2 linked regions of the Schizosaccharomyces pombe genome follow. Changing the gene in region 1 together with any one later gene gives a genetic interaction. Each region holds a gene or a part of one and is shown on either strand. Other genes may lie near its edges.

Evidence for each region.
Region 2: of cmk1 (region 1) and ppb1, changing one suppresses a phenotype caused by changing the other (phenotypic suppression), as found in Schizosaccharomyces pombe (one study listed by BioGRID).

What each region holds. Positions count from the first base shown.
Region 1 is NC_003424.3:1,737,583-1,741,339, reverse strand, and holds the start of cmk1 (calcium/calmodulin-dependent protein kinase Cmk1), read left to right. Parts: upstream 1-2,039; 5' UTR 2,040-2,252; coding exon 2,253-2,416; exon of another isoform or gene 2,417-2,463; coding exon 2,464-2,518; exon of another isoform or gene 2,519-2,585; coding exon 2,586-2,676; exon of another isoform or gene 2,677-2,748; coding exon 2,749-3,079; intron 3,080-3,141; coding exon 3,142-3,508; 3' UTR 3,509-3,757. Other genes in the region: potassium ion/proton antiporter Kha1, read left to right, coding at 1-724. UniProt on the Schizosaccharomyces pombe protein: Important in cell cycle regulation.
Region 2 is NC_003423.3:2,872,259-2,876,015, reverse strand, and holds the start of ppb1 (calcium-dependent serine/threonine protein phosphatase calcineurin catalytic subunit Ppb1), read right to left. Parts: upstream 2,095-3,757; 5' UTR 2,020-2,094; coding exon 1,881-2,019; exon of another isoform or gene 1,837-1,880; coding exon 1,630-1,836; exon of another isoform or gene 1,476-1,629; coding exon 157-1,475; 3' UTR 1-156. Other genes in the region: oxa102 (translocase Oxa101), read right to left, coding at 2,889-3,757. UniProt on the Schizosaccharomyces pombe protein: Calcium-dependent, calmodulin-stimulated protein phosphatase. This subunit may have a role in the calmodulin activation of calcineurin. Appears to be involved in cytokinesis, mating, transport, nuclear and spindle pole body positioning, and cell shape.

The sequences.
Region 1 (3,757 bases):
CTTTGATCAGGTTGAGATTAGTGTGAAAGAAAAAGGCTCTACATATGAAAGAAGCAAGGTTGTAATTCTCATATATTTGGGTACTGAAAATGATTTAATTGCATTGGAGCTTTTACTTAAGTTTTTGTATGAAGAGACGAGTATAGCCTATATTTACACATATGATGAATTCTATAAAGATGATTATGCGACGTCATTGCCTAATGTCGTTTACACAAGTGAAGTGCTGTTAAGCAAGCATAATGACTCAGCTTTTAAGGTATGGCCGAAACTTCGAAAAAACATTCGAAAAATAACTAAGCCAAACGGATTTACAACAGACCAGCATTCTCAGACCTTTATTCCTTCTCAAACACATACGAAACTCGATTTGAGATTATCTGATGTAACAGATAGTGTTCGGTCGAGGATTAATGTAGTAAAATTTGGAAATTTAAACTCACTTTTGAGTTGTCTTCATGAACTTATTCAACCTGCAACCTTGACCCCTTCTTTCGAGACAGAAAAGAGTATAACCATGTTTTTAGGCTGTAGGGATAAACAAGCTGTGAGCGAAAAACTTGAGGTGGCTGCACTGTCGGAGATGAAGAAATTGGGTTACATTGAGTCTAGCTCAGAATTTGGTATGCTTGCAGGTTTAATTCCGTTAGTGCTGTTGAGCAATTTTCCATTAATAGATTTCTTTTTAGGGAAGGCACCTACAAAGATGGTTCAAGGTTATTGATTAATTTCAGGTTTTTATTGCATCCATCTCATAATTTATTTTTAATTAATGATTTAAATGGTTTTCATAATTTATTTGGAATCCAAAGGATCGACTATATTATTTTCAATGTTAGAATTAATGCATTCATCTCTATTCGTTATTCGCAATGTAGAAAACTTGTTTTATACCTTAATAAGAAGAAGTTACTTAGGGTTCTTCTAGTTTTTGGCTATATCGCGATTTATCAAAAAGTGTTATTTAAGAGTTGAATAGTTTACATTGTAGACTCATCTTCCTTCAAAAACCCATGTGAGTTTAAACCCTTATTGGTTTCGTCTGTTTAAACCGATACTTTGAATTTATATCATAGCAAGGGTAAAGTACTGTAGAACAAATGGAGTCAAGCATGCATGCGCATTTTTTACTATTTACTTCTTCAACATTATCTCCAATACATTTCGACTAACTATCATACAAGAAGCATATGAGAAATTAACATACCATACTCACTGCTATTGTAAAATGTATGGTATTCCTTTCAGAAGGTAGTTCGGTTCTTTCTCAAATAACTAAATACCTCTTCCAAGATGGAAAAGATTATAAAAGTAATCATTCAAAATCGATTTTATTAGCTCAATTTACACTCAGTCTGTTTTTCACAATTTTTGTTACAGTATGAATCTTTGTTACGTGGTTACCTTTTCGTATTCTGTTCTATGTTGTTAATACGCTTACTGTATTTAAACAAACTAAAATGCATGGGATAGCGCATTATTACGGTATACGTTAGTGACCAATATTCGCCATGATGGCTTGTTATATCTACTTAACTCTCATGAGCTGGTAATATCAGCGAAATTTCAAGCAGTTCGCGTTTTGCCAATTGCTCATAAAACTGCGATTTTTTAAGGATTGTATAATTAAATTCAATTCTTTAAATAATTGTGTTGCATTGTTACAGTGTTTGGTGGTTTCAATACGCTAATTGTAATTTTGATCTTTCTGATCTTGTTTTCTCTTAGAAGAGGAAAATAGGTACGGAAATTACTGAACCGATTGGGAATTACCAGGATTTATGACTATACTGCAGACTACTGGTTTTGCAATTGCAAATCAGTTGGACGGTATTTATCAGACGCTGGTTTTCTTGTTATCTTCATCAATACTATTCGGGTACATTCAATATCAATATCCTGTTAAATCCGAGGATTTCAATATACCTTTTCCAAATTTTTCCATATTTACAAGTTGAGGCTAAGCACTTATTGTCATAAGTTGGTGGACAGTCATTGCGCTGCTTAGATCATTCTGTTATTGAACCACCGTTTAACTCAACAGCCTGCTTCGCGCAAATAATATTTTCTTTATTGTTTCTACGGGATTTTTTTCATTTACATACCTTTACATTTTTGGTTTCATAAAAGAATTCTGTAGTACAGAATTGTTTATGGCACCATCTAACAATACAATAATTTACATTAAGAGAAACCTTTTACGTTTACCTTCGTTGGCATTGGAATAATTCATCTATTGATTCTTTACAGCTATGCAGCAAACATACAAACCAAACACCTCGGCCTTGAAAGACGGTGCTCCAAAGGCTACGGTGGATCAGAAACAACTATTACCTTGCAAATATCGTGTCGGTCGGGTTTTGGGAGGCGGAACATATGCGACGGTTCGTGAAGCCGTTCATATCGAAACTAACAAGTAAGTATATTTTAAATTCGAGTTGTTTGCTGACCAAATTTTCATAGAATGTATGCGGCTAAGATTATGAATAAAAAGATGATGGAGAAGAAACAAGACTTTGTAAGTAAAGACTTAAGTACTTACAGCATCCTTATTTACGTTTACTAACATGTTTTTGGTGGTATAGGTGAAGAATGAAATTGCAATTCTAAAACGTGTTTCTTATGAACATCCTAATATCTTACACTTGGTTGATTTTTTTGAAACTGTGAATAATCGTATGTCTCCGATTTCGATTTGATGAATCAAATGTTATTGTGATGTGTTTTGTTCACTAACCCTTGAAACAGTGTACTTAATCACTGAACTGGCCACCGGTGGTGAACTTTTTGATAGAATATGTGCCAAAGGTTCATTTTATGAGGCCGATGCTGCTGCTTTAATGCGTACTACCACATCAGCAGTTAAGTACTTGCATGACAATGGAATTGTACATCGAGATTTGAAGCCAGAAAATTTACTTTATCGCTCTAAAGATCCGAATTCAGATTTGTTAATTGCCGATTTTGGATTGTCCCACTTTTATGAGGATTCTCAATACTATATGCTCATGACGGCATGTGGGACACCAGAGTACATGGCACCCGAAGTCTTTCGTCGAACCGGATATGGAAAACCTGTGTAAGTTGATCAACTACCATTTTAATTCAGAAGTTATGTATCTTGACTAATACTGTTTATAGAGATATGTGGGCTATTGGCGTTATAACTTATTTTTTACTCAGTGGTTATACTCCATTTGCTCGACCTTCTCAGGTTGAAGTTATAGAAGCAATTTTAGCTAACGAGTACACTTTTAACGATCCTTGCTGGTCTGGCATTTCAGAAACGGCCAAGGACTTTATTAAAAAATGTTTGGAAAACGACCCTTCGAAACGTTTAACTGCTGCTGATGCGTTGAAGCACCCCTTCCTGTCTGAAAAGCGTCCCGCAACCTCCAATTTGCTTCCAAACGTCCGGGAAAATTTCAATGCAAGAAAAACGTTCCGTACTGCCTATAACGCTGTACGTGCTTTCAACACTTGGAAAAAGCTTGAGAATAAGCATTAATTATACACATCTTTTCTTATAACTTTCTTATTTTATCTTGTTATGACTTATGACTTCTTTATTATCTTTTGCCCTCAGTACATACTTTTTTGGTATTAACACTCTTACATGTTAAATATATTCTTTGTGATTTGGAATGCTTGGACCTATCATGTTCTCTACTTAGTTTTTAAAATAGCCTCATACAAAATGCTAAAAGTTATGTCGATGTTTTAAAAAGTAACGCTACCAGTTTTCTGACATTGTTAG
Region 2 (3,757 bases), on another chromosome or scaffold:
GTCATCGGTTATCTTGTATTATGCTAAAGTAAACTCATTTGCTTTCTTTATTTTGAGTGTTTAGATATTTGTTGTAAGTATGCTTAAAACCTCGGATCAGGTTTATGCTCATTGAAAAATTCCAACTAAAAAACGAATATGCGCAGGTTTTGGTATCTACAAAGAGCTTTTCTTATCTGCAAAGCGTTCTACCAAATGATCGATAGAGGTATCATCTTCAGACGAATTCATTACTTCTTCGAAAGCCTTTAAATCCGTAGAACGTCGACGGCTATTAGATGGCGGTAAACGTTCATTTTGGATATCCAGCTTACGAGCATCATCGAAGGAATTGATAGCATTTTTGATACCCTCAGCTCCCAACATTAAAGTACCCGCAGGTAATCTTTGCGTACCTGACACGTTTTTCAGTTCCGAAACACTTTCCCGTTCTTCTCTAAGCACACTGAATACTCGAGAGATACGGCCAATAGCCATAATCTTGTTTTTAATAATTTGCCTACGAGCTTCAATATCAATTTCTTGGTCGGCTTTATTTTCATTCTCAGATGGAGCAGGCTGTTTATGCTGAGTCGGAGCCGATTCTTTCAAATCCGTTTCATAAAGCTCCTCCTTAGAACATATATTGAGCATTGAAATCAACATTTCAGAAACTTTTTCGCCCACAAATGGAAGACTCCAAGTAAAAACATCCATAAAGTTAGGAAGCCAGTAAGGATGAGGGGAACAATTAAATTGTCTTATATTCATTACATTATTTTCGTATTTCAAAACAGCAGCTTTATTATTGTAAACATCCAAATAGTTGGGTGCTGAAAATATGGTCATCAAAGATGGAAACCCGGTTGTTTTAGTTTTGCGATACATTCGATAGCCCACATCTTGAGCTTCATGAGCACGAATAACGGAGAGGAGATTATTGTTTTCTAAGAAGGTGCAAACAGCTTGGTAACTATAAAAGTAAGAACAGCCACGAACATTATTATGAATAAAATGCTTGTTTGATTTTTCCGATCCAAAATCTTCAAGGGGATCAGACCAGAGTAAATCACACATCAACCCATGAGTTGGAGGCTCACAAAAACGATTGATCATTCGTATATCATTCAAAGTATGTAGTTCGGGTGATAATCCACCATGTACACATAAAAATTGCTTATTCATAATAGCTGCCAAAGGAAGGGCATTAAAAGATTGTAAACAAGCTTCATAAACTTTAATATTATACTTATGAGTACATTCTAACTTGAAGGTAAAATAGTCAGTAAGATGAGCGCATTCGTGATTGCCACGAAGCAACCAAAGCGTTTTCGGATACCATATTTTCAAAGCCCACAAGTACAATAAACACTCAATTGAGAAATATCCTCGATCCACGTAATCTCCAAGGAAAAGATATTGGGTATTTGCTGGATTACCTCCAACTTCAAATAGTTTCATAAGATCATAATATTGGCCGTGAATGTCACCGCATACTAAGCTGTCAGACCGAAGAATATTGCAATACAAACAAAATATCGACCCAAATTAAAATGAAGGAAAAACATAGTCATAAATTACATTTCAAAGTTCTAATATTTTACCTTATAGTAATTAGGGCCTAAATATGAAAGGTGATAATCAACATACCAGTGACAGGTGCATCCACCTCAATCAAGTTGTCTTCTGACTTCAAAATTTCTGTAGCCTTTTTTATAATATACAACGTTTGTTCCTCAGATAAACGGCCTTCCCGAATGAAATGATTGCGAAGAAAATGCAAGTCAGGTTTATCAGGTTCATTAATATCAAAAAACTCCACGTCCGTCGGAATATAAGTTGCTGGTGCTTGAACATCTTTGATTGTTAATAAGACTAATTTCTTTCAAAAATATCCGTACTTTTCACTACTCTATCCAGTGTGCTAACACTAGAGCCATCTTCTTGAACAAATATTGTAAAATCATGAGAAGGAGCTTGATTTTTTTGGCGAATTGCTCGAACTATTGGGTCTTCTAAATTATGAGGACCCGAAGTCATATTAGTAACTTTTGCAAGCCTATATACAGCCTGGGTAAAATGCTAGATATTCTTGCAAAAAGTTTTGGTAGATTCTGGTTTGTTATACTTACATCGTCCCGGCGGTTTTGGAAAATGGTTTAACGAAAAGCAAAGAAATTCGTAATTGCTTTTCTCAATGAACCATGTGAACAAAAAACATATCTGTTTACAATTCTAAGTACTTTTTTTTTTTTTTATAATATAGATATATTTCATCATAATCTTTACTTCTGTATATTTAAAAATTTACAAACAATCGCCGCTTAGACAAACATATCTTAATAACCAATCGTGTTAGTAATAAGAAATGAACTTGTAGAAAGGGAACCCAAATACTACCTGAATTCCTTCCTAATTATATTGCCTTGCTCATTTTTGAGAGAAGCAAACTAAGTTGATTTGATGAAACTTACATTCCATGATTACCTAACTGAAATAACGATAGTTTTATTGATAAAATAAATATCCATAAAACACTTTAAGAGTTAATAATCATTTTATTTTTTGTTTAGACGGCTACGTCAAATTTTAGGTTATTGTAAATATTCTTTGATTTCTCATCGCTTTCCGTAGTAAAGAATTAGACAAAAGCGATTTTTAGAAAGAATAAGCAAAATAAATGTAAATTTGGGTATTTTATTAGAAGTAAAGGAAATAGAAAAGAGTGTTGCAAGTGTGAAGATATATGCAAAAACTAAAACATATGTAAAATTATGGGATAAAGCCAAAGGAAAGAAATGAATAATGCAACAAATGTAAAAAATTAACCATATCTTACAAACTTTTATGCTCTCAATAGGACATTGGAACACTTCTAAGAAAGAGAATTCCAAAGCACACAAAAAAGCTTAATCTTTCTTCTCGGTGGGTTTGGTAACAGAAGAGGACTTGTCATTTTGAGAATTATCAGATAGCGTAGTAGCTTTGGTAATTGTACTATTATTAGTAGGTTTTTGCTCATTGTTTGTATCGGTTTTAAGGAAACGTGTAGCATCTAGTATTTCAGAGGCTTGTGGGTATTTACCTTTTTCTTGAACCCCATGGACAATATCGGTAAATGACTTAACAAACGATTCATTTTGAGCGTTCGGTACTGGCATAGCAGATGGGACTTCTGGTAAGCCAAGTTTATGCCTTATGGTGGATGAACGCAAAAATGCCCCTTGAAATACACTGAAGACATTGCTAGGAAACCAATACATAAAAATTGCCATAGGAAAATTCATAGTGAATAGTGGACTGGCAAGGCAAAGAAATCTAAAAAATTTTTTCATTGAGGGAGACATAGCAACCTTATTACTTCCAGTTTCGCTACCAAGCTCTATATTGAGCAGCATAAGAAGGCCGTTTGCAACCGGAAATATGTGTAGAGGATCAGGCTGGGATAAATCATTAACCCACCAAAAACCACCATCAGTGAAACCCTCTACAGGTACACCCGCCATTGTCTTCAACGCGTAAAAAAAGCTAATAAACAGAATTCCCTGAAATACAGGAGCAGAAAGCAAATTCAAAGGGTTAACATTGTTAACTTTATAAAGGTTTTGGATTTGAGTGGTAGCTTGCATCATTAATTCGCTGTTTCCTTCAGCCTTTGCTTTACTCAACACACTCATGTGTTCAGCAACCTTTGGGTTAATGATAGCGAGCTTTGCGGACGTTTTCATCATCTTTAACATAATAGGAAATACTGCAATTCTCATAGCAACAGCACATG